Macaca mulatta: one gene and its partner. The protein of the gene in region 2 interacts with the protein of the main gene of each other region in a pairwise test. Links are inferred from orthologs where the notes say so. Each region holds a gene or a part of one and is shown on either strand. Other genes may lie near its edges. The genes, in order: C13H2orf50 and GSTA4.

Region 1 (16,575 bases), on a different chromosome or scaffold from region 2:
CTCTGCACATCCAGCATCTAGTCCAGAGTAGATCTTCAATAAATGTCAGTTGAATGATGGAAAGAATGAATAATATTCAATCGCAAGTATGTTTGGCAGGAACATATTTTTCCTTACCATTGAGTCATAGTCTTTCAGGAAACTCCAGTTCTGAACCCTGGAAAGGAAAAGCATGTTGACTGTGTGAGTTCCTTCTAGGACATTTTTACCAATGACTTTCACTGTGTCAAGTCAATGCAACAATGTATCACATGGAAGAACTAAAGATTTTTTTTTTTTTTTTTGAGAAGGAGCCTCGCTCTGTTACCTAGGCTGAAATGCAGTGGTGCAATCTCAGCTCACGTTGCAACCTCTGCCTCCCAGGTTCAAGCAATTCTCCTGTCTCAGCCTCCCAAGTAGCTGGGACTACAGATGCGTGCCACCACACCCAGCTAATTTTTGTATTGTTAGTGGAGATGGGGTTTCACCATATTTGTAGGCTGGTCTTGAATTCCTGACCTCAGGTGGTTCACCCACCTCGGCTTCCCAAAGTGCTGGGATTACAGGCATGAGCCACCATGCCCAGCCAGAACAAAATAATTTTTAAGTGAAACAAATGCCAAGTGCCAAGCAGGTATTGATGGTGTATCCCACCAAAAGAACAAACATTTCAATTTCCAATGACTTTTCCTAGAATGACAACTATGACGTTGCTATGGTAGGACTGCCTAAGCAAGCAAAGGCTACAATCTCACCCTGCCTCTGTGCATTTTCAGAAGGCTACAGTAGGCAAGCATTCTCTGAAGAAAAAAGTTTTCACGTCCCCAAACCTTTGTAACCTTCCAATGTGAGTGACAGAGGAAGGCTAGGGAGGGGTAGGAAAAGGGAGGGACCATAAGGATAGTATTACCTTGCACAGGTCATTTAGTTTTACTTGAATCTAATTTTAAAAAGTCAAACAATTCTACAAAACATAATAAAAACAGCCTTCTCTGTCCCCCTCCTCACAGCCCCTGAGCCTCACATCTTAGCGTCAAACCTTTGCCAGCCTTTTAGCTGTTTCTTCAGGCCTTTGCGTCCGTATTTTGAAATAATAGGATTCTACTGCTGTATTATGTCATTCTTGCCTTGCTATAAAGAATACCTGAGACTGGGTAATTTATAAAGAAGGTGTAGGCTAGGCGCGGTGGCTCACTCCTGTAATCCCAGCACTTTGGGAGCCCGAGGTGGGTGGATCACCTGAGGTCAGGAGTTCAAGACCAGCCTGGCCAACATGGTGAAACCCTGTCTCTACCAAAAATACAAAACTAGCCAGGCATGGTGGTGGGCTCCCGTATCCCAGCTACTAGGGAGGCTGAGGCAGGAGAATTGCTTGAGCCCGGGAGGTGGAGGTTGCAGTAAGCAGAGATCGAGCCACTGCACTCCAACCTGGGCGACAGAGTGAGACTCCATCTGAAAAAAATAAATAAATAAAAATAAAGAAGGTGTAATCGGCTCACAGTTCCACAGGCTGTACAGGAAGCAGGATGCTGGCATCTGCTTAGCTTCTGGGTCCGTCTTAGGAAACTTACAATCATGGTGGAAGGCAAAGTGGCAGCAGGCAGGTCACATGGCCAGAGCAGGAGCAAGAGAGAGAGAAGGGAAGTGCCACACACTTTAAAAGAACCAAATCTGGTGAGAACTCCCTACTGTGAGGACAGCACCATGGGGATGGTATAGACCATTTATGAGAAACCGACCCCATGATCCAGTCGCCTTCCGCCGGGCCCCACCTCCAACAGTGGGGATTACAATTCAGCATGTGATTTGGGTGGGGACACAGATCCAAACTATATCCACTGCTGTTCCTTAATATTTTCTAAAATTTAAACTTATCTATGGACTTCCTATTATAGGAGATGAAGAGTTAGCATTCTTACTCCTGCCCTTCCCTTTGTTCTTTCAAAATCATTACAGATCTTGGTTAAATTGATATATGTCATTTTGATTCTTATGGTTATGTAAATGTTATTCCCTGATGAACTAAGGAGTGCAATATACCCCAATTCTGTTCTTGTATAACCTTGTATTCTTTCTAGAGCTAACAGAGAAATTACATTTCCTCCCAATTTTTTTTAGGCTTCTATGTACTGATCATTGATTCCAGATGTTCCAATAAAACTGAAAAGTCCCTCTCAATATTATTTTCTACACTGTCATGTGCATCAGATAATAAACATTCCTTTAAAACCTTTCTTAGCCTCCTCGGAAGCCCCGTGTCCTCCTGCTCCCACTGGCCTGGCCGTGCCTCAAGATCACAGGCTGGTCCCTTCCTTCACCAACACGCTGGCATCCCCCTCTTTGGGAATTCCATGTCTTATTTTCTTGTTAATGCACCTGTTTCTGTGGAGCACCTACTCTAGTATCTGTGGACTCCTGCATTTCTTTGGTTCTGGAAAATTCTCACTTACTTTCTCTTTAGACATTTTCTCTCTCCCATTCTCTCCTTTGGGAGTTTTGATTAAGGATAGGTTGGAGCTTCTTGTTCAGTTTCTCTACATTTTTAATTCGTCATTTGTGTTTTCTGTCTTGATTTTCTGAATAATTTCTCCTGTCTTGAGTTTATGAAGTCTGACTTCAGTTGTGTCTTATATTTCAACTTTATATATTTTTATTGCTACAAGTTCTTTCTGTTTTTTGGTTTCTTTGAGATGGAGTCTCACTCTGTCGCCCAGGCTGGAGTGCAGTGGCACAGTCTTAGCTGACTGCACCCTCTGCCTCCCGGGTTCAAGCAACTCTGCCTGCCTCGGCCTCCTGAGTAGCTGGAATTACAGGTGCATGCCATCATGCCTGACTAGTTTTTGTATTTTTTAGTAGAGATGGGATTTCACCATGTTGGCGAGGCTGGTCTCGAACTCCTGATTTCAGGTGATCTGCCTGCCTCAGCTTCCCAAAGTGCTGGGATTGCAGGTGTGAGCCATTGTTCCCGACCTCTTGTTTCATTTTTTAAAGCAGCACTAGAACATTTAAGCTATGTGTCTGGCTCACATTGTATTTCTGTCAGGCAGCACTGCCTTACACATTCCTCTTTGGGCTATCCAAACCTTGCAAAACTCTTTCCCCTTGGTCTTTACACCTCCTTATGCCCCTGGCTTTCTTCTCTGGTGTTTCCTGGCAGCATCTCTGCCTTTCTAGTAAACGTTGCAAGTTCTGTCCTGCATCCTCACCTCTTCTGATCCATTGTGCTCTTCCGGGGAGAGCTTATTCACATCGCTGGGGCCAATGCCCACTCGTTTCCTGCTAAAACTGAGATAGAATTTGCATTCCATAAGATTCACTTTTTAAAGCACACAATTCAATGACTTTAATATATTCATGGAGTTGGGCAACCATCACCACTTTCTGATTCCAGAACATTTCATCACCCACAAAACACCTTGTGTCCATTCGCAGTCAGTCCTCATTCTCCCCTTCTGGATGGGTTTTTAATTCACAACTCCTCACTCTCACACTCAACTACCTCCTGGCAGCTCTATCTAGACGTGGTTCGGGCATTTAAAACTCACCAGAACTCAGCATCTTCATCATTTATCTTCTCCTCCCTATTAATCATTCAAGCTGAGACCTGTCATCCTTTATTCCTTCCTCACCTTTCCTCCCACATTTACTTAGTTTATAAATATTTTCTGTCATTCTGTAGGTTGCCTTTTCACTCTGTTAATTGTTGCCTTTCACTGTTAATTGTTGCCTTTGCTGTGCAGAAGTTTTTCATATGCAAAAGAATGAAATTGGATCCTTTCTAACATGATACATACCAATCCACTCAAAAACATAGAAGGACGCTTCATAACATTGGGCTTGGCAATTATTCCATGGATATGCCACACAAAGGACAGGAAACAAAAGCAGATAGACAGATGGGATTACATCAAACTCAAAAACTTCTGAAGAGCAAAGGAAACAAGCAACAAAGTGAAAAGGCAACGCACAGAATGGGAGACAACATTTACAGATCATATTTCTGATAAGGAGTTAATTTCCAAAATGTATAAGGAACTTCTACAACTTAGTAGCACAAAACCAAATAACCCAATTGAAAAAATGGGTTAAAGACTTGAATAGACATTTCTCCAAAGAAGATAAATAAATGGCCAATAAATATATGAAAAGATTATCAATGTCACTCATCATCAGAGAAATGCAAATCAAAACCACAGAGGTCAAACACGGTGGCTCATACCTGTAGTCCCAACACTTTGGGAGGCTGAGGCGTGTGGATCATCTGCTGTCAGGAGTTCAAGACCAGCCTGGCCGGAGCTTGCAGTGAGCTGAGATCGCACCACTGCACTCCAGCATGGGTGACAGAGCAAGACTCCGTCTCAAAAAAAAAAAAAAAAAAAAAAAGACCAGCCTGGCCAACATGGTAAAAACCTGTCTCTAATAAAAATACAAAAATTAGCCAGGAGTAGTGGAGGGCATCTGTCATCCTAGCTACTTGGGAGGCTGAGGCAGGAGAATTGCTTGAACCTGGGAGGCAGAGGTTGGAGTGAGCCGAGATCACGCCACCGTACTCCAGCCTGGGCGACAGAGGGACACTTCATCTCAAAACGAAACAAAACAAAAAATCACAATGAGATACCACCTCACACCTATTAGGATGGTTGTTATCAAAAACCAAAAGACAATCAATGAGTGTTGGCCATTGTGTGGAGAGACTGGAATGCTGAGATACTGCTGATGGGAATGCAAAATGGTGCCACTGCTATGGAAAAGACAATGGAGGTTCCTCAAAAAATTAAAAATAGAGGTAGCATATAATCCTGCAATCCCTCCAATATGGTTTGAGTGTTTGTGCTCTCCAAATCTTATATTGAAATGTGATCCCGAGTGTTGAAGGTAGGGCCCAGTGGGAGGTGTTTGGGTCGTGACCGGCTTGGTGCCTTCCTTGCGGTAATGAATGAGCTCTTGCGCTATTAGTTCACAGGAGAGAGCTGGTTGTTAAAAAGAGCCTGAAACCTCCCCCTCTCTCTCTGGGTCCCTCTCTTACCATGCAACACGCCTGCTCCTCCTTCACCTTCTGCCATTATTGTAAGCTTCCCGAGACCCTCACCAGAAGCCACGTGGATTCCAAGACTATGCTTGTACGGCCTGCAGAACGGTGAGCCAAATAAACTTATTTATAAATTACCCAGCCTCAGGTGTTCCTTGACAGCAATGCAAAATGGACTAAGACATCCATTTTTGAGAATTCATCCAAAAGAATTGAAACCACTCCCATGTCCATTGTAGCAATACATATAACAGTCAAATGTGGAAGCAACGTAAAGTCCATTGACGAATGAATAAAGAAACTGCACATATATACATTCAGCCTTAGAATGGGAGGAAATTCTGTAATACGCGACAAGATGGATGAACCCGGAGGACAGGATGCTAAGCTAACAAGACGGACATGGAAAGTCAAATATTGCACAATTCCACTTCTATGAGGCACTGAAAATAGACTACTGGGAGTAAAGACTAGAATGGTGGGTGCCAGAGGCTGGGAGGAGGGGGAATGGGGCGTTGCTAATCCACGGGTATGAAGTTTCAGCGGTGCAAGATGAGCGCTTCCTAGAATCTATCAGGCTGCTCATTTAAAAATGCTGTGTTCTTGCTTAAAGATCATGCCATGTACTTGCTTAAAATCCTGGATGGTGTCTCCTTTGGAAAAAATGCATCCAGACTTTTACGAGGGCTGGGGTGGCCCCCCCGGCTGCTCCCCCTTATCCTGTGGCCTTCCTCACTCCCTGTGCCTCAGCTACACGAATTCTTTGTTTTGTTTTTTTAGATACGTCAAACTCTTGGCTCCTTCTCCTGTTTCATGTCTCAGCTTAAAAGTCTCCTCAGAGAGGCCTTCAGCCGGCTCTCCCCCTAACCCTGAACTGTTGTTTCCTTCTTACCGCTGGTCACATTTCTTACAGATTTGTACTTGTTTGCTTTTCTGCTTGCTTTTTGGCTGCCCTGTCCGGAGTATGAAGGCTCCGTGGAGCCATGGCCAGGTCAGTCCCTTGTTGTATCTGGTCTCCTTTCAGAGCGGCTCATGGGGATTTTTGGTTGAATGAAGGCATGAAGGAGCATCTTTCCCAGAGTCAGGTCAGATGGCCAGCGCCTCTCACCCAGACTAGGCCAGCAGGCTCCGGCTCCAGGGAGGCGGGGCTGCTCGGACCCAGCCGCATCTGATCCTGGCCTCCATCTTCCTGGCTTCCTAGGCTCAGGCTCGGGTCTGGCTCTGGGCTGGGCCGGTGACCCGCCTCCCCCCGGGCATGCCATGCTCTCTGTCCCTCAGCCCGGATCAGCTGCCCAGCCATCTCCCTTTCTCCAAAAGTTTCCCCAACTTGTAGTCAGGTTGCGGGGGTCAGGGTGGAGAAGGGAGGGCAGGGACTCACCAGCGCCGCTGGCCCCGACGCTCGGCCTCCAGGAGCTCCCGCCACAGCTGGTCCTGCTGCACGCCGCCACCGCAGGCAGCTCCCTGGGCCACCCGCTGCGCCTTCAGAGCCTGGGGGGCCTGACAGCCACCAGCAAGACCCCTGCTGGCCATAGGGCCAATCCGGGCAGCTGGGGAGACAGACGTTGGCGGCCTGGTGGGGGACAATCGGTGCCCAGGTGATGTGGTTCTCTGGAGCCCAGGGGTAGGGTGGCTCCCCATGGGTGCGTGTGTGTGTGTGTGTGTGTGTGTGTGTGTGTGTGAGAGAGAGAGAGAGAGAGAGACAGAGAGAGACTCCTGTGCCTGAGCTCAGCTCAAACCTCCTCCTGGAACACTCTCTCCCTCCTAACCCCGGGACAGCCTGGGCAGGGTCCTCCTCACTGTCGCTTTAGGCCTCGAGCTCAGAGTGGCCGATGGGGAGAGCATTTGAGCCCAGTTTTGTTTTGAACTCCCGCCTGTGTTGACTGTTGTCCTGGGAACGGGCAGCTCCCAGGAAAGAGGCGGGCCCGTGTGTGCGTGCGGGTGTGTGCGGGTGTGTGTGTGTGTGTGTGTGTGTGTGTGTGTTTGTGATCTGAGCCCTAGGGCTGGGGGGCAGAGAGTTCTTGAGTAGATGCCACGCCCAGTTCAGCAGCCCCCTACCCCGAGGCCGGAGTCCTCCGAGCAGGGTAGGGGAGGAGGAGGGAGCGAAGCCGGGGCTCCTGGGGGCCACCCCCACCACTGTCGCACTTGGCTTCCGGCAGCCGCCTTCAGGCCGTGGGGCGATGATAGTCCTGTGCTGCCCCCTCGTGGATGCTGCGAGGCTTGCACGAGATGGTGGCCCTGAGGGCGCTCTGGGAATTGTGGATCAGGCATCAGTGTGAAGCTTCCTGCTTGTTTGGGAACAATGGCGGAGGTCATGAGCTTCTGTCGGGCGAGGGAAAATGAGTGCAATGCACTAGGAACATCCGCTCTGTCTGTAAACCCGGAGCGTTCACACAGCACTCTGCTTTATGTCTGAGACCTCCCAGCCATGCCTTTCCAACGCCATTCTACAGATGAGGAAACTGAGGCCCTTACCGGCAAGATTAAGTGACCGCCCACGGTCACACAGTCACCAGCTGAAGGGAACAGGGAGAACCTGAGGGCTCACGGTCCGAGCCCTCAGCCCTGTTTCTGTTCTAACTGGGTGCAGCCAGGCTCCCTCCGTGGCAGCCTCTCCTGGTCTGGCTCAGCTGAGCTCCAGGGATGCCCGCTGCTCTCATCACTTCTGCCTCCTGCACTCTCTGCTTCCGGTTCTCTGGGTTTCGTGCCGTTCCGGTAGGTGCTGGCAGATTCACAGTTCCTTCTACGCAGCTTCTCTGTGGGTCCATTCAGCTGGGCCGCTGCTTCCTATCGTTGTACAGGAAGAGCTAAGTGCAGACAAAACCCTGATGAATAGAGGCCTGTGCAGAGTGCCTGGGGTGCAGGGCAGCAGGGCAGCCAGTGAACCACAGGGCACTGTGGCCAGTCCTGTGTGCCCCTGCTGGATTCTGCTTCTGTGAGGGAGGCAGCAAGGAGTTGGGACTTCACAGGTGAAAGGACTTGCCAGGTAGAAAAACTGGGGTGACCACAAAAGCTTGGATGCAAGAGAGAGCCTGGCATTTTGGGAGATGTAGGGGAGGAGACAAGGACGGGGGTGGCAGGGCACATGGGGGCAGGCCCCGGGGTGTTTTCCACTGTATCCTGTACCCAGTGGGGAGATACTGATGGGCTGTGAGCCCCAACGGAACTGCAGGGAACAGAACCATCAGGAAAGGGGTAAGAAACAGGTGAGGTCGCCATTGCCATGGTGTGGGTAAGCAATGGCAATGAAGCCCCTACCGGGCTCAGGTGGAGGGCTGGCGTGGAGAAGACAGGGCTGAGAGCCAGGCCAGAAAGAGCTGCCAGCTTTGTCTTCCCACACTTGCGTGAGGATGGAGCTGAGGGGTGTGACCTTTTGGGAAAACATTAGTCTAGAATCAGAGCTGCAAGCCTGGGACTCTGTCTGTCCTCTGTCCCTCCCCTCAGAGCTGGGATGACACAGGCTGGCATCTAGTGACTTAAATTTTCCTGGTAAAGATGAGCGCAGCAGGAGCGTGGCAGGGTGGGCCGCTGTGTGCTGCTCCCATGGAGGTGTCTGTGCTCCCTGCACCGCGACGACAGGTTCCTGCCATGCCCAAGGAGCAGCGGCTCTGACTTCCCTGAACCCCCAGCAGCTGGGTTCTAAAGACACCCCGTGAGTGTCTTTAGAGAGGACAATGTGTCCTGGGAGGCTTTGTCAGGCTGACTGCAGGCTGTAGCCCCGAGCAGCTGGGAACAGCCATGCAGTTTGCTCAGATACCTCCAGCCCTGGCCACAGGCTCTAGACACAGGGACCAGGACAAAAAAGGCCAGCAAGGGCATCTGCGACAAACCATCACGACTGATCGAGTTCCTGATGTATGTAGAGGCTAAATATCTCCACTGAGTTTTTTTTTTAGACGGAGTCTCACTCTGTTACCGGGGCTGGAGTGCAGTGGTGTGATCTTGGCTCACTGCAATCTCTGCCTCCCAGGTTCAAGCGATTCTCCTGCCTCAGCTTCCCGAGTAGCTGGGAAAACAGGTGTGCACTGCCACACCCAGCTAATTTCTTTCGTATTTCTAGTAGAGACAGGGTTTCACCATGTTGGCCAGGCTGGTCTCGAACTCCTGACCTCAGGTGATCCACCCACCTTGGCTTCCCAAAGCGCTGGGATCACAGGTGTGAGCCATGGCGCCCGGCTGGAGATTGGTTCTTAAAAATTAAAATATAATTTAAAAACCATTTCAGACCGAGAGTTGATAGAGGGCTGGACTGATGGGTGACAAAACAAATACAATACAACGTAACTGTAGAATCTAGGTGGTGGGCATATGGGTGGGCATATGCTGGGTGTCTGAAAAACTTCAAAATAAAATGTTGAGGGGAAAAAAACACCTCACCTGCCAGTCCAGGTCAGTCACTGCCAGTCTCTTTTCACATGTCCTTATCCCTGGAAAAACATCCAAATTCACTCTGGGTGCGCCTCAGTGAGCCCCAGCCTGGGAGGACCCACGCCGCCCTGCCCCTCCCGCAGCTCTAAGGCTGGCCTCACCTGGGGATCAGGACACCGGGTTCCAGTCCCTGCTCTGCCAGTGACTTGCTCTGTGCCCTTGAGCGAGGGCTCAGGGCACAGCCCACATTTTGTGGTCTAACTTTACATGAGACTTACCAGGGGAGCACAAGAATCCCTGCCTTTGGGAGGTTGCTGGAGTTGTCTTTGAATGGGTTTTCCTCAACCCTAAAAGGCTTAGCAAGTTCAGGGCCTTCAGCTGGGCGAGGAGAACGTTCCAGCCCAGGCAGCCACAGGGTGGCCCCACCAGCCCGGGAGCAAGGACACCTGCGATTCACAGAGCGCGACGAGGCTCCGCCCTGCGAACCAGCCCCGCCTACTTCCTGTCGGCCCCGCCCCTTCCCGGGTCGGGGAGCGAGGGAGGGTCCCGAGCTCCGTCCAGCTCCGCGGGCGCAGAGCCCAGGGGCCCCGGAGCTTGGGAGCCCGCGGGAGAGAGCTGAAGGGGCGGATCCGTGGGAGGTGAAGGCAGGGGAAATGCGTGTCTGCATTTTTTAATTTGCAGGGGATATTTTCTGTCCCTTTTGTCCCCGAAGCCTCTGCTTTTTGGATGAAAAGTTGGCTTTACTACCCTCTCTCTCCTTCCCGCGCGCACACACCTTGGAGGCGTCATACCAGGCGGTGACCGCAGAGGAAGCATCCAGCGCCACAATTCTTGCCTTGTCAGCTGCTCCCGCCAAGTCCCCAGAAAGCTCCCGGTTCATCAGAACAGCAACATTAAAGGAAGGCCCAATTTATCTATGGAAAAATCTGCTCCGGCCTTCCTCTTGTAGCCCCAACCGTTTTCACTTATAAGTAGCCGCTTTGGGTCTAACTGTTGGTTCTACAGTTGCTGTCAATGTGCCCACCATTTTGTACTCAGCTTAAAATTGTTTGTTTGTTTGTTTGTTTATTTATTTATTTATTTAGAGGCAGAGTCTCGTTCTATCACCCAGGCTGGAGTGCAGTGGGACACGATCTCTGTTCACTACAACCTCCACCTCCTGGGATCAAGTGATTCTCCCGTCTCAGCCTCCTGAGTAGCTGGGATTATAGACGTGCGCCACCATGTTCGACTAATTTTTGCATTTTTAGTAGAGACGGGGTTTCGCCATGTTGGCCAGGCTTGTCTTGAACTCTTGACTCAAGTGATCTGCCCAACTTGGCCTCCCAAAGTGCTGGGATTACAGGCGTGAGTCATCATGCCTGGCCAAAAAAATTGTTTTTAATGTATCAGCAACATCTTTTCATGTTTCTCTTTACAATTTTTTTTTCTTTTTTGAGACAGGGTCTTAACTTTGTCACCCAGACATGGTCATAGCTCATTGCAGCCTCCATCTCCCTGGGCTCAGGGGATCCATCTCAGCCTCCCAAGTAGCTGGGACCACAGGTGCTTTATAAGCTTTACACATCTCATTGTAGCCAGTTTCTTAGAGTTGATGCACCATAATGTGTTTAACTAAATTTTTCTCTTCTTGGACATTTAGATTTTGTTCAGGTTTAGCACCAGCTGTGATAAGGGTCTTCAAGCCTCTGCTTCCTGCTGTGGAATTGTTGCCACAGGACACATTCCCCGATGGGATTACTGAGTCAGAGGAAGTGGACGTTGAGTGGCTTTCAACAGACAGGCTGTGTTGCTCTCATGGTGTCCATGCAGGTACCACCAGCAATGTGTACACATACAGGAAGCGCCGGCTTCCGTGTAGTCTTGTTGCCATGGCGTGTTGGGGTCTCTGAGACCACCCTGGGTTTGACGATTGGCTAGGAAAACTCGCAGGACTCAGCATACAGTGATACTCAAGGCTATGATGTATTACGACAACAGGACATGAAGCAAAATCAGCAAAGGAAAAAGGCACGTGGGTCAAGTCCAGAGGAAAGGGAGTGTGAGGGTCCAAGACCCTGTCACACGCTGGACGCACTCACTTCCCCCAGCAGTGTGTTGGGACAACACATGTGGAATGTCATCTGTCAGGGACACTCACTAGAGATTTGGCACCGAGGATTTTACTGCAGGCTAGTCACAAAGGCACCCTCTGCCTAGCATGTACCGAAATTCTGGACTCCCAGTACGAAGACATAAACCACAGTGTTTACACGGTTTAGGGGCAGTGAGCTGTTCTTATCCGGGAAGGGTGGGAACACTCCCCAAGTCAATTTCCCAGATACCAACCAAGGGCCAACCTTGCAAGCAGTCCTTGCTAAAGATGACATTGCTATAATTTGTATTTCTTTCATTTTTCTTTTGAGGGTAAATCATGTCGGTATAAAATAATGAGACGGGACTGGGCCATCCGAAGGTTCATTCACTGTCAAGGCTGGAGGTTGATGCCAGCTGTCGGCTGTGACCTCAGGTGGGTCTGGCGGCCAGCTGGGGCCCCTCCGTGTGGCTTGGGCTTCTCTCCAATGTGAAGTGGCTGTGTTTCAAGGATGAGGAACTGACAAAGAGGGAGCCAGGTGGAAGCTGTGTCACCTTTTCTATCCTAACCACAGAAGCCACCCTGTGCCACTTCTACCACGTTCTGTTTATTAGAAACAAGTACAAATACTGGCCCATATTCAAAGGGAGGAGAATTAAACTCCACTTTTAATGGGAGAAGGATCAAATAATTTGCAGAGGTTATTTAAAACCATCACAAACAGATTTGGCATGTTTAGGCATTTATTCTACACACACACAAAAAAGATACAAATGTGCAAAGTTACTTGAGACTATTTTCTGCTGTATTATTTGTGTTAGTAAAAAAAAAAAAAAAAGGGGGAAACAATCTAAATGTCCATCAAGGGCCAGGTGCAGTGGCTCATGCCTGTGATCCCAGTACTTTGGGAAGCTGAGGCGGGTGGATTATCTGAGGTCAGGAGTTCGAGACCAGCCTGGCCAACATGGTGAAACCCCATCTCTACTAAAAGTACAGAAAATTAGCCGAGCGTAGTGGTGCATGCCTGTAGTCCCAGCTACTCGGGAGGCTGAGGCAGGAGAATTGCTTGAACCCTGGAGGCGGAGGTTACAGTGAGCTGAGATCACGCCACTGCACTCTAGCCTGGGCAACAGCAAGACTCCATCTCAAAAAAAAAAAAAAAAAATTCATCAAAAGGTGATGGGTTATGTTACTTGTGTGTCTTTACTATACTTATTACTTGTAAAGATGTCGTCTATATAATGTCAAGCAAAACAAACATGATAAAACAATAACAAAACGTGTTGCAAAGTGGTATATGTGGTCTGATTCTGGTGTTGTTATCATGAGTTGAATGCATGGAAAAAATCTGAACAGACATGCTTCCTCCTGTGTCTACTGCATATCTTTAGGGAGTAGGCCGGAATGCAGTGGTGTGAACATGGCTCCCTGTAGCCTCCAACTCCTGGGCTCGGCAATCCTCCCACCTCAGCCTCCCGAGTAGCTGGGACTACAGGCATGCGTCACCATGCCTGGGTAGTTTTCGCATTTTCTTGTAGAGACAGGGTCTCACCGTGTTGCCCAGGCTAGTCTCAAACTCTTGGGCTCAAGCAATCTGCCTGCCTTGGCTTCCCAGAGTGCTAGAATTATAGGTGTGAGCCACTGCACCTGGTCAATCATGTTAACGCCTAAGACATGACTGTCAGGGGTAGTGGAAAGAGCACAGAATTAAGAATCCAGAGAACTGGGTTCTAGTCTGTCTAGGCTCCGACCCCACCTTCCTGGGCTTTTTTTTTTTTTTTTTTTTTTTGAGACAGGCTCTCCCTCTGTTGTCCAGGCTGGAGTGGAGTGGTGCCATCACGACTGACTATAGCCTCCCGTGTCCTGTGATTTTCCCACCTCAGTGCCCTGAGTAACTGGGACCACAGGTGTGTGCCATCACACCCAGCTAATTTTATTTATTCTACTGTGGTAATGGGGTCTCACTATGTTACCCAGGCTGGTCTCAAACTCCTGGGCTCAAGTGATCCACCCTCCTCGGCCACCAAAAGTACTGGGGTTATAGGCGTCAGCCACTATGCCCGGCCTGGGCCCATTGGTAAGGATTATTCAGCAGTAAAGATAGTAAATGTGTGACAGTCTTTCTCGGATTATGTATTAGTTTGCCACAGCTGCCCTAACGCAATGACACGAACTGGGTGGCTAAACAAGGGAAATGTAGCATCTCACAGTGCTGGAGGTTAGAGGTCTGAGAAGAGGGGTTGGTGGGGTTCATTCCTTCTGAGGCAGTGAGGGAGAACCTGTGCCAGGCCCCTTACCTTGCTTTTGGGGCCTTCCTGGCAATCTTCAAGTTCCTTGGTGTGTAGAAGCATCACCCTAATCTCTACCTTCATCTTCACATGGTGTTGTTTCTTCGTGTGTCTCTGTTTCAATTTCTCCTTTTTTGTGAGGTCACATTCATACTGGATCTCAGCCCACCCTACTCCAGTATGACCTCATCTGAACTCCTCACATGGACAGTGACCCTGGTTCCAAATAAGGTCACCTTCTGGGGTCTGGGGATTAGGACTTCAATGCAAATTTCAAGAAGCACAATTCAACCAATGACAGATGATACAGATTTGAATTCCTTCTGGGATCTACTCAGGGATGAAACCGACCTTGTATGGCCAGGCGTGGTGGGTCACGCCTGTAATTCCAGCCCTTTGGGAGGCCGAGGCAAGTAGATCACCTGAGATCAGGAGTTCCAGACCAGCCTGGCCAACATGGCAAAAACACAGCTCTACTAAAAATACAAAAGTTAGCCAGGCATGGTGGCACAAGCCTGTGATCCCAGCTACTTGGGAGGCTGAGGCAGGAGAATCACTTGAAACCGGGAGGTGGAGGTTGAAGTGAGCTGAGATCACGCCAGTGCACTCCAGGCTGAGTGACAGAGTGAGACTCCATCTCAAAAAAAAAAAAAAAAAAAAAAAAGAACCAACCTTGTATTCAGCCCCCACTGTACATCAGGCATTATTTCCAGTCCTCACCTCATCTCATTCGGTGAACAGTATTAGCTCCATTTTATGGATGAGAAAACAAAGGTAGGCTGAGTGTCTTGTGCAGGGACACAGGCAATAAGTGGCAGGCCTGGCATGGAATTCACGCATACGACTTCTAAATTCTGTGCTTTATTTGAACTGCAGAGCTGGGGCTTGACTAATACTTGACTACGCCTAAGTTTTTTTTCCCCAGGAACTTCCTTGATAATTTTCATTAAATAGACCTTACATTTTCAATCCAGTCAAGCCTCTGGGAGATAAGTTAAAAATTCCCTGATGGATAATGACATTAAAAACAGCAACTGGTACACTGCTTTAAAAGTGTGCTTTCGTGCATTTCCCTTGTGAAATATTGTGACAGCCTCATGAGGTGGAGCTGATCACATATGGATTTAGGGGCAGAAACTGGAAGACCACGACCCACCTAGACCACACAGGCAAGAAATGGACCCCCAGGACCAGAATCCCTTCTGACTATAGTTCCTGGTCTCTTCTTGAGTTGTTATTTACAGAGAAAAAGCATCTCACATAAACAGTTTTACTTCAGTTATCAAAAAGATACTCAATGATCTATATTTCAAAGACTCTAGATTCATGGGAGTTGGGGAAATTTTAAGCATTCGGAACGTATTCTGGAGCATGTCTTTATGTTCTTTATTCTGTAGCCTCCCATGGGTGGGCAGCCGAATGCGTTTTGGGAGAAAGCAGGTCTTGTGGATAATATTTCTGAAGATCGGAGCAGGTTGTGTCCAAGTCCATGTTGGCCATGACTGCAGAACGCCCCAGAGGCAGCAGGGGGCACCCTGGAGCTTTGTATCCTCCCTCCGACCCGCGGCATCTCCCCTGGCTCCACCATCCCCAGGTGCCCAGAAGCCGGGTGTCTCAGGTCAGACGCACGCTGGTTCGCTATGGCCATTTCTGATCAGACACAGAACAAATGGATTGTCCAGATACGGTGTCTGTGAAAGGAGCCCAGCTGTGGGCCTGGGGAGGCAGGTGCCCTGGCAGGGGTGACATTCTTAACCCACAGGGAGGGCCCAGAAGGGATGCGGGAGGCCACCTGCCGTGCAGCATTCGGGGGTCTTGGAGGTGGGCAGCAGCTGTTGACCTGTGAGCGTGGAGGAGCATCAGCGCTTGAACAGCGGAAGCAGCATTTACAGGCCAACACCAGCCCGGCAAGGGCCGGGGCCCAAGGCTATGGTGTCCAGAGCCTCCCAGCTCCCACTCTGGCCTCCAGTGGCCATGGAATTGCTAACTATGAGGGCGCGAGCTTCTCCCAGCAAGTCAAGGGGACGCTATGTGCTGCGATAATGGGTCCAGCCGCCTTGCATTTGGCCTTCCAAGCCCCTCTCTGAGCCCCAGGACTTACCCACACCAGCCGGCCCATGCAGGGTGGACCTAGCCTGCGTCAGTCAGGCCTCATTCTGGAGCCAGGCTTGGTGCAAACTCCCAGCTGAGCTCACACGCTGGCTGCGGTCTGTGATACTTCCCTGGTGGTCTCTGACGGGGCCGTATGGCCTCCCTCTGGAACCCAGGCTGCACACTCCAGGAGCTGGGGGCAGTCAGGCAGAATCAGCCTCTGGTTGCCAGCATGGGGTGTCAGGCAGGGTAATCCATGGGGGAGCCTGGGGAGAGAGGGCGGGGGTGTGGCACTGGTCTCAGGCTGGGGGAAGGAATTCACACCTGCATGGCTGAGGCTGGTGCCACCCCCTCTGATCACCGGGATCAGCCTCTCCTTCCCCAGGCTCAATTTGCACCCGCAGCCTGTATGGTTGGCACTGTCTCCCGTGGGGAGCCCCTGCCTGGCTCAGGGGAGACCCCGGTCCAGAGCCCACCTTTGGAGCTGCCCTGGCCTGGGCCTGGCCCTCCGGTGAGGCTGCAGTAGCCAGGAGAGGGCCAGGCAGAAAGGCCATCTGCCTGCAGGGGTTTCTAGCCAGCAGGCCAGGGGAAGGAAGTTGTCAGGCGTCCTGCGGGGAAGGCCAGGGTTGCAGACAGGGGTGGCAGTCAGCTCCATGTAGCTCTGGGACCCAGGTGTGTGGCAGGGCCAGGAGCACGTTCTGCTGCTTTTCCACACCCGACTCCAGTTCATTTCCCTGAGAGACCCTTTC
Region 2 (16,404 bases):
TGGCTCACTAGGTACTTGAGGCCTTCTTGGACTGTTGTTAGAAAAGTGATCCTCTGCTTTTCTTAACAGGTCATTGGTTTGATTTTTGGATACCACTCTGCTGTTCTGAAAGGACTATTATATAATTCACTTTGTTTTACTTTTGTTCCCCAGATGAAAGAACTCTAAGTAAATACGTTTTAAAAAACCATTTCAACACCCTTTAATGTGGTTGCAGATATCACATGAAACCAAGCTTAATCATTCTATGCCATTGTATTCTAATTTATTCCACTTTTGAAATCAAGTTGTATGTGTACCAATAAAAGGAGAGCTTTTTGTTTCAAAAGGCTCTCAACATGAAGCTTAACACAGTCAATCAAACTTACATTCCTGCCAAGATGCATGGCCAAAAAACTAAGTATCAAAGCAGCAGAAAGTTTTTGATTATAGTAACTGAGATGGAATTTTGCACCTAGCTCGGTTCTCCAGATCTGGCTAGGAGCAGTCAATGACTAATCTTCTGTCCTAGCCAAATTCTCAGGACAATTTGGGGAGCAGAAAGAGTTATGGCAGAGGTTCCACTCATCTACGAAGTCACAGTCACGTGCCACATTTGATCTCCTAACCCTGGTGTAGTTTCTTTCAAGAATGAGAACTCTATTTGTTGGGCAGAGGCTGTTCCATTGAGAGGAATGTTTACAGCAATTTTGAAAATGACAAAGCCAGTTTGGAGACAGAAAAAGACAAAAGGTCCAGTCTCATCCACCTCTATATGGTACATTTGGCTCACTTATGGTTGCCTTAAAGGCAAGAGGGAAGGTCACCATCAGTGAACGCAATGCAGTCTGAACAGTGTATTGACTCATATTCTCCTAGGGCTCAAACTACTTTCTTGGTTCCAGGATAATGACAAGTTGAACCATATGTAAGTAATCTTTTTTTTTTTTTGGTTTTTGAGACGGAGTCTCACTCTGTCGCCCAGGCTGGAGTGCAGTGGCGTGATCTTGGCTCTCTGCAACCTCCACCTCCCAGGTTCAAGCGATTCTCCTGCCTTAGACTCCCAAGTAACTGGGACTACAGGTGCCCGCCACCACGCCCAGCTAGTTTTTGTATTTTTATTAGAGATGGTGTTTCACCATGTTAGCCAGGATGGCCTCGATCCCCTGACCTCGTGATCCACCCTACTCCACCTCCCAAAGTGCTGGGATTACAGGCATGAGCCACTGCATCCAGCCAAGTGATCATTTTTATAGGTTAAAATGATAGGTGAAATGAATCTAGACACTTTCATATGGTTCAACCTAATGACTTGGTAAATTATTGCTTTGGTATATTAATAATATGTTGCATTCATTCTGAACAAATTACCATGGCTTCCAAAGAGCCTTAACCTAAAATCAGAGAGTAATTTACGCTTTGGAGAATCTGACTCAAAAATATACTTGACCAAGCACCGTGGTCCCTAGGGGCATGAGAAAAGCACATAATGGATGTGGATGTGATAGGTGGTCTTTTCCTGTTGACAAGCTGGCAGCAAAGCTTCAGAAAATATATATGCAAGCACAACTTGAAGCTGAATTCATTTCTGTATTATATTCTCAACTCATTATCTAAAGCATCAGAAAATGTGTTTTCAGAGATGAGTCCTTTACTATAAGGTTAATATTTATTTTCATTTTCTGTATTATATATGAAAAGTAAATTAATGTGAAACCTTGCCCAGCTTGCTGGAAAGCAGGTTTTAAATTGTAAATATTCCTTAGAGGAGCAAATGGATTGTTTAATACCATAGTCTCGGTAATCTAGCTTATATAAGGTCATTACATTTTTTAATTGAAAAACCTAGTTACCTGATTATTACACATTATAAAATTGTTTTTCTTCTAATACTTTATAGGGCCCAACTTCAGAAAATACTTTGCTTTCTTCCTTTTACACTTTCCTTTGTTTACCAGCAAACAACTTCCCTGGGGAAGCCAAACATATTTATAAAAAAATCAAGTAGCTGATGTGCAGTTGAGAAAAACTAAAAGACGGAGAAAACAAATTCTAACTAGCAAATGCTGTGAAGTACTCTTCCTCCCCCTCTCTGAAATGGGTAAAGGACCAATTGTGTAAAAAACCTATGCGCTATAGAAGGGAATAGTAACCATTTCTTTTGTCTCTCTGTTTTTGTTCTGACTGAGAATCTGTGCAGCCATTTCTTGTTATATGAAAACAAAATGCTACTTGTGACCTCTATTTTTTGTTACTGTAGAATTATAAAATGTAATGTAAGACACCAACAGAAATGATATACCTGTAACTGTACCTATCAGGACTATACCTCATTTACAGTCAGAAAGCTTACTGGGACGTCAGGAAATGATACAGGGTTGGTTCTCATTTCGTGCTGAAATGAGACAGAAGTTCAGTGACAAAGGTGCGCTGTGGGGGTATCGAGGTCCCCCAGGTAGAGCCAGCAGAGCAGGGAAAACTGCATTTGCATAAAAACTACTCTTAACATGATTGTTCATTTTACAGTAAAATTCCATTAATTACCAAGCCCTCACCCAGCTCATGTATGATAAAATTTATGTTGGAAGAAACTTGATTTTCAAATAATTTTTTAAATTTATCTCTTGCCTAAAGGACTATATACATCTAATATGGTAACACTATGTCATCTTCTGGAGTTATCAAAAATTGTATGCAATCAAGACAACACAAAATAAGAATTATTTTATTTTTAAGTGCACATACAGGTACTGTTGGAGTTGATGGGCACCATGCTTTCTCATGAAGTAGCATTTCCCTACCATCAAGCCATTGTTTTGTGCCATTCAGCAGATGAAAAAAAGGAATTTATGCTGTACATTTCAGTTCAGTGTATGACCAAAAGCAATATGTTTATAAGAAGATGTTTGACATACTAATTATTTTATATCATTTAAACCATACTGTAGCAACATAATATATGTAGCTAATTTTTAGAATTATTTTTACAATTTCCAACCAAATGTACTGTACTGTTATATAATTTATTGTGAGGATCTTCTCATGGAAACCATTAGGAAGACAAACTGGAGGTAAATATCATATTAATCTGTATTATCAATTTCTTACAGACACTGTGCTAATGTGAATTTTAAATGACCTGCATCAAGTCTTCTGATTTCAGATAACTCAGTACAGATAGCAATTAGTCACCTGATTTGATTACAATGGAGTAACTGACAATATATTTATTTATAAAGCAAATATTCATAATAATGAGAAGAATTCAGAGTAACCACTTAAGCAAGACCCTTCTGAAATAAAAATGTTGCTTTTTAAATAGTTTGTCCTAAGGTGTTTAAAAATGTCAACTTTATGTAAGGAAAAATTTCCTGCTCCAAATAAAGTTGAAGTTTAAGAAAAATTGATTTGAGTGTTCTGTTTTTGTTTTCATGTTCTTCCATTCGTGTTTTCTAATTTTTGTCCTTTGTTAGTTCATTTGGAACTTTGATGTTTTATAACTTCTCCTGAATGCTTAGTATCGTGTTACTGCTATGAAATTAGATGCATACACTTTGAGTAGCAGAATGAAGAGTTATCCTGCAATGTGGAGGTTTTTTTAAAATTCAGCTTTTAGAAAGTTAGGCGTCTGGAAGTGGTGGCTCATACCTCTAATCCCAGCACTTTGGGAGGCGGAGGCAGGAGGATCCCTGGAACCTAGGAGTTGGAGACCAGCCTGGGCAACATGGCAAGACCCTCTACCAAAAATCTCTACCAAAATTACAAAATTTAGCCGGTGTGGTGGTGTGCACCTGTGGTCCCAGTTACTTGAGGGGCTGAGGAAGGGGAATCGCTTAAGCCTGGGAGACAGGTTACAGTGAGCCCAGATCACCCCCCTGCACCCCAGCCTGGGCAACAGAGCAAGGCCGTGTCTCAAAAACAAAAACAAACAACAACAACAAAAAAGCAAAAGCAGGTGGAAACAGTTTCTTGTTCCTGATTTCATCATTTTAACCTGCCTTGTATGTCTTTTAGCTTTTCACAGCACATTCTCATATACAATATAAACCTTTAAAAGAAGTTCATAACTTCGTGAACTACAGAAAGAATGTCACAAGAAATGCATTTTCTAAACATTCTTTGACTCCTTGACAGGATTTTCTAGGAACATGATCTACCAATCAAACTTGCATTGGTGAATCCCTAACTGTGCCTCTTGCCATCAGAACACAGTGACTTTACTGTGTAATCATGGGCATTTGTCTTTTTGGCATCACGCTGGGCCCATGGCTGCCCCTTCAGAAACCCTGAAGAAGCCATTTCAAGCTCTCAACCATCTTTCCTGATAAGAAAACCCACTTGTTAGAATAGGGTCTTACACCAATCACTTATAGCTAAGGCTGAATTTAAGTCAAATGTTTCCCTCTTCTGGGAGTATACAAAGCTCTTAAACTGAGATTTGAAGCTCTTGACTTTTGTGCAAGGAGTTTTACCTACTACTGAGCAGATGAGTGAAGGGTTGAGACTAAGAAGATTTCTCAGGGCCTCTGAAAATGTATCAGGTAGGTAGGTGGATAGGTAGGTAGAATAGATAGATAAAATGAGTAAGACTGTCTCAGGATGAGGGCAACTCTAAGGGTCTTCAAGAATAAGCAGGTTGACGATGTCAGGGGCTTCAAAGGAATAAAATGCCTTTGGGGTATCTGTCATAGAATGCAGAACTATTATAACAGGATTTTTCATTTCTCCCCAAGCCTGTGTAATAACAGAGTCATGCTGCTACCTTAGTTACACTTTCAGGTGAACAAGGCTGAGTGTTGCCAGAAAAAGGTGTCCTGATCCAGATCCTAAAAGAGGGTTCTTGGATCTCGCACAGGAAGGAATGTAAGGCGATTCACAGAGTGCCATGAGAAGCAACAGTTTATTGAAAGCTACTCAGTTATAGAGTAGAGCGTCCTCAGAAAGCAAGAGGAGGAATGCCTCCTCTTTGTTTTTTATTCGATAGGGGTCTTATCTATGTAAAAGGTAAGCTAAGCAATGTCTACGTGCAAGTAGGCTAACAGAATGAAAAAAATTAGTACTTTGTTAATTTAAAGAAAGGTATCCTTGGCATTTCCATGCGTAAGTACGTGAAAGCATGACTATAATTACCTTAAAGGCATTTAGCATTATGCAATATTGGAACATCTGGACATTCTACTGTCATAGGAATTTGTCCTTCCAGGTATCATTAAGCTATTTCCTCAGCTATAGACATCTTAAGATGTAGTTGACTTTTTTTTTTTAATTTTACTTTAAGTTCCAGGATACAAGTGCAGAACAAACAGACAAGAAGTGTGTGTGTGTGTGTGTGTGTGTGTGTGTGTGTGTGTGTGTTGGACAGGGCATCATTCTAGACTTTTCTTCCTCCTCCCTTCCCTTTGACCTGATTAGTAAATCCTTTACCACCTACCTCTTTACTATTTCACCTTTTCTTACCCATTTTCTTCAAACGCATGGTGCTACTTTAATTTACACAGACACAACAGGTTTCTTTCTCTACCCCTACTACCCCAATTCATTCGCCTCACTTTGGCCAGAGAAACCTACTGAAAATAAAATCTGATCATGTTAGCTAGCGGCTGCAATTGTTCAGCACCCAGGCTTGTCAAGCAAGGTACTCTCGAGCACCCCTGTGGGTGAAGAAAATAGCATCTATAGCCTGAGAAATAGCAGAAGCTGCCTCTAAAAACAAGATGTATTTTCGAAGGCATGTATTTCAAACTTTGAAATCCATGTGAATTTCGCAATTGTTCCATAATATAGCCCTGATAGTTTTAAAATATTTTCAACGTTTTAACTAACTTGCCAGCCAAATTAGTTTTTTTTTTAGCACCACCCCCAACCCCAAAGACCCCCCCTTCCAAGCAGGTGCTGACTTGAGGCCATGACTATAGAGCACGTGACTCTAAAATGTACAAAATGAAGAAAAATCTCAAGCTGTCCCACTGAGATGAAGAAAGAAAGAAGTTAGTGTCTACTGCTTAAATTAAATAAGGGTTGACGGCTCTTTCGATTTTAATCTGTATGTGGTACTTAGCCTACTTAACACCCGTATGTGGATTTCCTGACGGACTTAACATTCCTGTCAGGAAAGCATTGCGTACTTGCTGTTTAAAACGCATCCAAGGGCCGGGCGCGGTGGCTCACGCCTGTAATCCCAGCACTTTGGGAGGACGAGGCAGGGGAATCACCTGATGTCAGGAGTTCAAGACCACCCTGGTCAACATGGCGAAACCCCGTCTTTACTAAAAAAAACAAAAATTAGCCGGGAATGGTAGCGCGCACCTGTAATCCCAGCTACTTGGGAGGCTGAGTCAGGAGAATCGCTTGAATCCGAGAGGTAGAGGTTTCAGTGAGCCAAGATTACAGCCTAGAGGTGGGCCTGTTGCCTGGAGCTGGGGTCTTTCTTGGAGTGTGCGTATTTTTTTTAAACCCCTTCTGAGGAGTCTGAATGCGTTGGTGGAAGGTGGGCCCAGATGGGCCTGACTGGGCGGCCGCTACGCCCCTGCGTGGGCTGGGCTGGGAAGCCAAGCATGGGAGAGTGCAGTCTCAGATGTGAGACTCCGTCTCAAAAATAAAAATAAAAATAAAAATAAAAAAATTAATTAATTAATTTTTAAAAAGGGTCATGGATCAAAAGAAAGGCAGACTGCCACATGCAGCGCCTCATTTGGATGTGTCTGGAGTCTTGGAAGCTTGACTACCCTACGTTCTCCTACAAATGGACCTTGAGAGCTTGTTTGGAGGTTCTAGCAGGGGAGCGCAGCTACTCGTATACCCTTGACCGAAGACCGGTCCTCCTCTAGCGGGGATGGTCGTCCTCTTCGACCGAGCGCGCAGCTTCGGGAGGGACGCACATGGAGCGGTGAGGGAGGAAGGGGACACCCGCCTAGCCAGCCAGATCAGCCGAATCAACCCTGGCGATCAATGGGGTGACAGATGTCGCAGCCAGATCGCCCTCACATCCGAGACTTCGTTGCGGCGCACAAGCTATATAAACCTGAAGGAAGTTCCAACTTTACACTTAGGTCAAGTTATTTATCGTATTAGAGCTTCAGCAGGTAATTTTAACTAAAATCAAATTTAACCAGCATAGCAAATATCATTTATTCCCCAAATGCTAAAGTTTGAGAGAAACGTACTTGATTTCGGGCTGTTTTGACACTATCCAGAATGCCTTGCAGATGGGTGGGGCATGCTAAATACTGCAGTCTCTATTGGTGAGGTCGTTCCGGAGCCTCGCCCAGCTCCCGCGCGCTAGAGCCGCCTGCTGGTCTCGCCTAGCCGCGGACTGCTGGCCTTGCGCTTTGTGCGGCTCCAGGTCTCCGAGCGGACTCCAGGTCTGTCTCCCTCCTGCGGTCACCCCCTTCCCCGCCCTTTCTCTCTTCTTTTTTTCCGAGTCTCACTCTCACATTCTTCCTTCATCCCCCCAATTCAGTCCTTCTTTTTTCTCCCTCTTGTCCTTTGCCCTCCATCTCCAGTCTGGGCAGAGGTGGGCCTGTTGGCTGGAGCTGGGGTCCTTTTTGGAGTGTGCGTATTTTTTTTTAACCCCTTCTGCGGAGTCTGAATGCATTGGTGGAAGGTGGGCCTGGATGGTCCCCAGGGCCTGGTGGGGCGGCCGCTACGCCCCTGCGTGGGCTGAGCGGGGAAGCTGAGCATGGGAGAGTGCAGTCTCAGATGGCCAAACCCTGGCCCCGGCTCATTTTACAAGGCCGGGGGCTCATCTCCCAGTAGGGGTGGGGGACACGTGGGACCCGGGGGGCAGCCCCCGCATGCGTGACGATGGATGCACATTTTGCAGACAATAGTAGTACTCGGCCTGTTCACCTTCCAGTTGCCGTGATAATAAAATATGATGTATGTAAAAGCATGAATACTTGAAGAGGTTCCTGTGGCTGTGCAATTTTCCTTCGCGACCCTCTTCAACGCTTGCCACCCCCTATCCCCAAGCTGAATCTGGAAAATCTGAGATTCTCAAGGTCAAAATATATAATGTTCTGAATTTGTGAAATCCCGTACTGCTAGCACATATGTTTTTACAACAAATGGCCCCAGCTTCCCAAGATCCAGGATAAGAAGTCATAAATAGAAATCATATAAAAGCCAAGGTTTTTTTTTGTCCATGTTTTAAAATGGTGGTATGTTTTTTCTTGAGTGAGGGAAAATGCAAAAACAAAAATAAAGAACAGTTTCCCGTGCCAACATCCTGAATATTCATTTCGCCCCGAGCACTGGGTTGAAGACGCGAAATTGGGACTATTGGTGTGCGAGGAGCTGCTGCATTTGTTTTTCAGAAAGCCTGAAAAGCTATCATGGCAGCAAGGCCCAAGCTCCACTATCCCAACGGAAGAGGCCGGATGGAGTCCGTGAGATGGGTTTTAGCCGCCGCCGGAGTCGAGGTACCTTATGTGCTGTTTCTTCACAGATTTGTTATACAGTTTTTTGAGACCTTTGAAAGAAAAATAGGTTTTGAAGCACCATTCAGGTCTCGTTCTCGTCCACCAAAATCACAGGCATGCTTCACTGAATCAGATTCCATTCCTGAAGGGACTTTTCTTTATCATTAGAATGTAGTTGGTGGAATTCTATTTTCCTTTTGACTGTTACTTAATTATTGGCTTCTGATCTAGCACCAATGAATATTTATTAATAAGAAGAAAGGAAATGTACCTGGAAATTGTCAGTTACTCTGAGCTCTTATTATGCATTCTTAGGGTAAATTTCGTGTTTTCTTCAGTGGCTTCAAACTGGCAGCCTTGGTATCTTGCTTGCATATTGATTTTATACTTTAGATTATAGTCCAATGACCTAAATTGCCTAAATTGTTTCAGCTTTGGCCACGGTGCTCTTTCAGGTTTACCTTTTTTTATTTCACATTGGCCTCTTTTTTGTTCTCAGCACTTTTTGACACTATAAAATGCTCTGTGCTCATCTTGTATTAATATTTTCCCTGCCCTAGCCCTAGAATCAGGAATTTCTTAGATAGAAAAATGGTATTAACAGGCTGGCACGGTGGCTCACACCTATAATCCCAGCACTTTGGGAGTTCGAGGTGGGCAGATCATGAGGTCAGGAGTTCGAGACCAGCCTGACCAACATGGTGAAACCCCGTGTCTCCCCAAAATACAAAAACTAGCCAGGTGTGGTGGCGCGCGCCTGTCCTCCCAGCTACTCAGGAGGCTGAAGCGGGAGAATCGGTTGAACTGGGAGGCGGAGGTTGCAGTGAACCAAGATCACGCCACTGCACTGCAGCCTGGACTGCAGAACCAGACTCCGTCACAAATAAAAAAGAAAAAAAAAGAAAAGAAAAGGTATTAACGTCAAGATCTGGGTGCTAGATGTCTACGTTTGTTTCTAGTGCCATTTGTTTGTGGAAGAAACTGCCCTGTAAAATTTTCCCTATTCTGGATTTGGTTTACTTACCCTCCAGGTGTTGCCTTGAGGTAACATAGTAAAGTAAGGCTACCCTTATTTGAACATGCTCCTCTATTTTCTGTACTTCCCATAAATTACTAGCTGGACCCAGAGGCATGATCACTTCAGGCTCCTTTTTTCTTTCTCTTTATTTTATTTTTTTTCCTGCCAGACTATGTCAGAGGAGATACTGTGAACACACTTCTCTTGTACCATGTCAGGGGCTGTCTGGTGTCTGGTTGTCTCGTTTTCAGTGATGCCGAGCTTCTTCGGTGTGTTCCTGTGATGTCAACCCCAATCCACACATTATAGTTTCTCCCAGTTTCTTTTCAACTTGTGGTTTTAGCAGCTATTGATCATCATCCCTGTTAGGGTTTACAAAATGGCAATTCTTTTCATTTCTATCATTTCACCTAAGTTTATGAACTGTGATTCTCTTCTAAGACAGTACTCGTCACTCATTAACTTTAAAATGTGTAAAAATGTTATGTTTAAATCATAAACTTTAAAACTCAGTTACTTTAAAATGTGCTTCATATAGGAAAGGCAAGGTAAATGCTTGATTATAAATTTTCACAATAATGTGTTGTTACCCTAGCAACCTCCAAAGATGGCAAATGTGAGTTGTTGGGTTATGGGTTTCGTGTTTGTTTTTTGTTTTTATTTTTTGCATATGATAACTTGCCACATGGTGTTTTACAATTTTCTAAATGAGTTGACATTATGTTCATATGCAAATTCTGATTTCTGACTTGTCTTTAGAAATTGGAAGATGTGGTGATCCTGAGTCCTTATTTTCACAGGGCAGCAATTGTTGGATCTGAATAAGGACTGCCCCACCTCGCCCTCTTGTCTCAGGGTGTATTTGCTAACTATTAAGAGGAAAGTGAAAAACATTCAAGGTCCCAGGACCTGAACCTGCCCGACTTCACTCGTGTCTGTCATATGTCTAACCCCCATAGGCTTCTGAGTTTGTAATTCTTGGTTCATTTCATAGGTTTTGAATGGATATAACCCTTTGTCAAATCTTCTCTCTTTCTTCATTCTACCCTGCCCCTCCTACTCACCTATGAGTCAACATTTTTGGTTACAGTAATAAAAACCCAACCTTAAATAAGTTAAACAAAAAAAGAACATGAGTTATCTGACCCACCTACCCCAGTCCAATCTGTGACAGGAACAGGCTGATCTGGTAGAGTAATGAGCCCACTCCTCAGACCAGAGTGGAGGAAGCTGCATTGGTCTCTTTCCCAGGGCAACCACATGGTTTACAGGGTGGTGGAGAGGGGGCCCCTCCCCATCTCTTCGCCAGTTAAGTTTGTGCTCACATAGATCTGAGACAGTCAGGAGGGACCAGCTGGCAGCCACCAGACAAGTCCATGATTCTCAATATCCCATGATTGAGTTGAACCTAAAGTTGAAGCACACACATCTGGGTAACTAGGTCACTAAAACCTACTGAAAAACAGCCTGTTCTAATTCAGGGAGTCCTCAATGTTGGTCAGTCACTTAATTTGAGTCATCATTGACATTGCTGTAAGTTGGTTGTTTCTTCCATGCTTGGAACTTTATTTGCCTGAAGACCCCTTAAAACCCAGGCAAATCCCCATTGAGATGTGGGAGATGTACACCATTTCTACCATTAACTAGGAGCATCAGTTGAGCACCTTGTCCCTGCATATATCCTATAAACTTTCTGAGCCAAATGTGGTGGCTTGAGCCTATAATCTCAGCTTCTTGGGAGGCTGAGGGTGGCAGGATCCCTTGAGCCCAGGAGTTTGAGGCTGCAGTGACCTGTGATTGAGCCACTGCACTCCAGCCTGGGTGACAGACCTCTAAGAAAAAAATAAATAAATAACCCTTTCTGTTAACTAATATGATGTTTTAACTTTTGATTTTAGTGTGTCGTAGTACAAATATCCAGGGACAAATTCCTCAACTGAATCTATCTGAGAGACATTGTCAATTGATCCAGGAGTACTGCCTGCACCACATCTGACCATCTAGGCTTCGAGCATTGTTGCCCCAAGGATACTGTTCATGAGCATTAAATGAAGGTCCTCTGGGAGCACTGAGTCTCCTTTCCTCACACCATGAGCACCCACCCTGGCAAGCAGCAGAAGCCAAGCCTCCACCCTATGATCCTGATTCTCCCCCACCCCTCCAGGTTGAATGTTTTTCAACTAAATTCACCAATTCTTAACATTTTACTAATTTGCTTTCTCCTTTCCTTTTTTTTTCTGAATTGTTTCAAAGTAGTTGCAGACATCAGCATGTGTCTTCCTCCCAGGGTTACAGGAAAGCGGTCCTGATCCAGACCCCAAGCGAGGGTTCTTGGATCTCGCACAAGAAAGAATTTCGAGCGAGTCTGCAGTGCAAAGCAAAAGCAAGTTTATTAGGAAAGTAAAGGAATAAAAGAATGGCTACTCCATAGAGCAGCCCCAAGGGCTGCTGGTTTCCCATTTTGATAGTTATTTCTTGATAATATGCTAAACAATGGGGTGATTTATTCATGCCTCCCCCCTTTCTAGATCATATAGGGTAACTTCCTGACATTGCCATGGCCTTTGTAAACTGCCATGGTGCTGGTGGGAGTGTGGCAATGAGGACGACCAGAGGTCACGTTCATCACTATCTTGGTTTTGGTGGGATTTAGCTGGCTTTTTTAATGCAACCTGTTTTATCAGCAAGGTCTTTATGACCTGTATCTTGTGCTGACCTCCTGTCTCATCCAGTGGCTTACAATGCCTTAACCGTCTGGGAATGCAGCCCCCAGTAGGCCTCAGCCTCATTTTACCCGGCTCCTATTCAAGATGAAGTTGCTCTGGTTCACACGCCTCTGACACCAAGGCAAAATAAATAATTGTCCTAATAACCACAATACCATTGTCACCACCAAGAAAATTAACGCTGCCTTCACAACATCTAATATGCAATCCATATTCAGATTTTCCCTATTTTCCCCCAAATGTCTAACTGTTACACATCTGTTTAGCAGTTATAACAGTTTCCTCTCCTCCGAGATCTACTTCCAATTTGGTTGTTAAGTATCTTTAGTTGATTTTCATCAACAGGACCTGACTTTTTTTCCATGCCCTCGACTCTTGAGAAGTCCAGGCCATTATGTTTGTAAGGTCCCACATCCTGAATATACCTGTTTTTCACCTTTCGCGTAGATTCAGGGTAAATATTTTTGGTACTGTTTTAGCAGGTGTGACTGTGCCTTTCTCACTGTGTTACAACAGAAGGCTTAGGATGTCAGAGTGTTCTCCACTGGGGAGCCAAGTTTGATTGTTTGGTTAGACCGAGGGTGAGAGATCTCCCGATCTCTCCATTGTAAATTGATACTTTCCCTTTATCATAATTAAGTAACTTAATTAAGTCTTCTGTAAAAAAGAGCTTTTTCTTCTCCTTACCTTTTTTTTTTAGCATCATCATTTATGGACATAGATATTTTGTTGTATGTTATAATCCATAATTGACATCATTCTTTTTGATGCTTAAATTTTCCCAAATTTGGTAGGGAATTCCCCTCACAGGGCCCTCCATGCCTTTCTGTTTCACCTTTGAGCACTTCCTTGCTTCGGCATAACAAAATCAACCTTCTTTTATAGGAGCCCTAGTTCCTTTTAGGGGGCAGTGATATTTAGAAACCAAGATGTGGATGCTAAGTCTGCTCTTTCTCTCTGCTTCTTAAGACTGTTTAACTTGGTATTTTTAGTCCTGAGTCTCTATGATGTTTACCTCCTTTTGGAGGGTGAGGATATCTTTTTAAAAAATTGATACACAATGTACATATTTGGGGGATACATTTGATATTTTGATACATGCATATCATGTGTAGTGATCAAATCAGGGTAATTAGGATGTCCATTACCCACCTCAAACATTTATCTTTCCTTTATGGTGGAACATTCCAATTCTTCTAGCCATTTTGAACTGTGTAATACATTATTGTTAACTATAGCCTACCATACTATTGAACACTAGATCTTATTTCTTCTGTCTAGCTGTATTTATGTATCATTAACCAACCTCTTTTCACATCCTCTTCCTCTCTACACTTCCCAGCCTCTAGTAAGCACCAATAACTTTCTATTTCCATGAGATCCACCTTTTTAGCTCCCACATATGAATCAGAACATTCAGTCTTTGTCTTCCTGTGTCTGGCTTATTTCACTTAACGTAATGACCTCTGTTTCTGTCCGTGTTGCTGAAAATGACAGGATTTTGCTTTTTAATGGCTGAATAATATTCCACTATGTATGTATACATTTCTTTTTTTAAAATTTAGTTTGATGAAGAATTTCTGGAAACAAAAGAACAGTTACACAAGTTGCAGGATGGTGAGTATGAAAATGAAACAACTGCCTCTAATACTGATTTTCCTTTAAGAACTGCTGTTTATGTGGAAGGGCAAAAATATTCAATGACACTGAACATTCAGAACAGTATCCTAAAACCAAAAAAAGCAAGAGGGAATAAATAGTTGAAATTGCCAGGAAATCACTTCTTATTCAATAGTTCCATAAAAGCTGGCTGAAGGGGGTGAGTAGTTCCTTCCCCACCCAAGTGAACAGCTCTCCTCCATCCCTTTCTTCTCCCCTCTCTCCCCTCTAATCTCCTCCTCCCCCTTTCTTTCTCTCCCTTGCCCTTTCCCTCCTTCTCATCTTTCCCTACTTCCTTCATACTATCTGAGGCATCCTGGCCTGTTTGAAGTATGCAAATAAATACCCGCAATGGGGATACTTTCTGAAGTGAATACCACACAGAAGCGAAATCGACGAACTGCCCCTCCCTTCACCTTTAATTCCTGGTCAGCCCTGCTCCCTCCTTGCCCATCCATTATAGCAGGAGCCACCAGTAGACCCATAAAGAGTGCACCCATCAACCTGTGAGCAGCCTCCCTCCCAGCCAACAGCAGGGTCCTCAGGCCCAGCTGGAGGCTCCCTTGTATGGTACCAGCACTCCAGGGCTGTAAGGCCACCTTTTGTGTGCGACGGTGGCTGGAAGCCACTAGGCATGTGCTAAGTACTCCTTTCCCCTCTACCCTCACCCGTTCAGAATGCCCAAACCCTCAAGGGCCAAGCTGTACCCTATACAGGCATCTCTCCCCAGGGTTTGGTATGTGGAAAGTGTTGGATTCAGATTTGTTAAAGAAAACAATGGGTAGTTTTTTTAACTAGTGACAGCGAACTTGGTAGTAAACAATCTGTTCTGTGGCTACAGAGTAGCCACAGAGTATACATGAGCCAAAGAGTATACATGAGTCTCAGCTAGTTACTTAGGTTTCATGATCAGATTCTCTAAAAACAGTGCTGTCCAGCAGAACATTCTACAGTGAAGGAAACATTGTATTCTGCACTGTCCAATATGGTAGCCACTAGGCACGTGTGACTGTTGAGTACATGAAATATGTCTAGTGCAACTGAGGAACTGAATTTTAAGTTTTAAAAATTGTAATTAATTTAAATTTAGATTTATATAGCTGCATGTAGCTTTGACTGCTGTATTGGCCTGTGTAGCACTGAAGAAATATCTTCACTACATTCCCCTTAATCCCTTATCACTGTGGATAGGTATTTTTCCTGGGGTGAAAATGAAAAGGGAACGTTTATAACAATGCTAGTTTTCAGGCTTTTTTTTTTTTTTTTTTTTTTTCCCCGAGACAGAGTCTTGATCTTTCGCCCAGGCTGGAGTACAATGGCATGATCTCGGCTCATTGCAACCTCCGCCTCCTGGGTTCAAGCAATTCTCCTGCCTCAACCTCCCAAATAGCTGGGATAACAGGCATCAGCTACCACACCCGGCTAATTTTTTTATTTTTAATAGAGGCGGGGTTTCATGATATTGGCCAGGCTGGTCTCGAACTCCTGACCTCATGATCCACCTGCCTCGGCCTCCCAAAGTGCTGGGATTACAGGCTTGAGCCACCGTGCCTGACCCCTTCAGGTTTCTTTTGTGGCTAAATCTGCTCTCCTGAATGAAGTTAAAGTTATCTGTCATCTGGAAGCTTTACACTATTTCCTAAGGCCATGATTCCACATTTCTTTTCATTCAACAGAGCATTTTTTAGGGGTTGGGGGACAGAGAAGAAGAGATCACTTCTAACTCTGGGCTTCCATTCTCAGGTAACCACCTGCTGTTTCAACAAGTGCCTATGGTTGAAATTGACGGGATGAAGTTGGTACAGACCCGAAGCATTCTCCACTACATAGCAGACAAGCACAATCTCTTTGGCAAGGACCTCAAGGAGAGAACCCTGTACTGTGGCCCCTCTCAAGTGTTGTCACTTGTCAGCTTACTGATGCCTTAGCTGATTAGCAGTCCTCTGCAGCACACCACATTTACTTTATGTCTTACATAGTTATGAGATCAGGGAGCAAAAATCCAAGAAGGTCACGAAGACCAGTTGGAACTTCAGTAGAGAGAGTCTGAGTAAAACAAAAGAAAATAATTGGATTCAGATGTTGAATACTATATCTAGGGTGTCATCGTTTCAGATTTCAACATTTTTAAATGCTTTGATACTGCTTTTTACCTTTCTTACACATTCACTGTTGTTAAGTATTAGGAATGAGGAGCTGCTGTGATGTTCAAGGCCTGGGAGAGTGACCATTAGAGACCATTAGATTATAATTTGAATTCAAAGCCTGGTCCTTGCACCCCTTAGATGTATGACCCTGGGCAACGTGGGTATAAGAATAGTACATTTCTCATAGTGTCATGTGATTTAATGAGATAATGAATGGAGAGTGTTTAGCACCATGCCTGGTACACTCTAAGCACTCAATAAATGGTATTCACTATTTTCATGAAGATGAAGTTTGACCCATACTAAGAGACCAAAACACAGATGCTGGGGTGAAGGTGGAGGAGTAGGATGCCAGGAAGAAAGCACTCGTGACTCTCAAGCTGTCTGATCTGTGACAGATTTTTGTGAGTTACAACTAGAATTGACCTTATCTCTTTGCTCTTAAGAGACAGGTA

What was found.
Region 1: the proteins of GSTA4 (region 2) and C13H2orf50 interact in binary tests that used the Homo sapiens proteins (3 or more experiments, as listed by UniProt). The two-hybrid records come from large-scale screens. The link is inferred for Macaca mulatta from reciprocal best matches to the Homo sapiens genes GSTA4 and CIMIP5.

What each region holds. Positions count from the first base shown.
Region 1 is NC_133418.1:113,691,622-113,708,196, forward strand, and holds the start of C13H2orf50 (ciliary microtubule inner protein 5), read right to left. Parts: upstream 10,465-16,575; 5' UTR 6,647-10,464; coding exon 6,387-6,646; intron 158-6,386; coding exon 118-157; intron 1-117.
Region 2 is NC_133409.1:129,378,290-129,394,693, forward strand, and holds the start of GSTA4 (glutathione S-transferase A4), read left to right. Parts: upstream 1-7,283; 5' UTR 7,284-7,340; intron 7,341-8,294; 5' UTR 8,295-8,312; coding exon 8,313-8,399; intron 8,400-13,708; coding exon 13,709-13,760; intron 13,761-15,545; coding exon 15,546-15,678; intron 15,679-16,404. UniProt on the Homo sapiens protein: Conjugation of reduced glutathione to a wide number of exogenous and endogenous hydrophobic electrophiles. This isozyme has a high catalytic efficiency with 4-hydroxyalkenals such as 4-hydroxynonenal (4-HNE).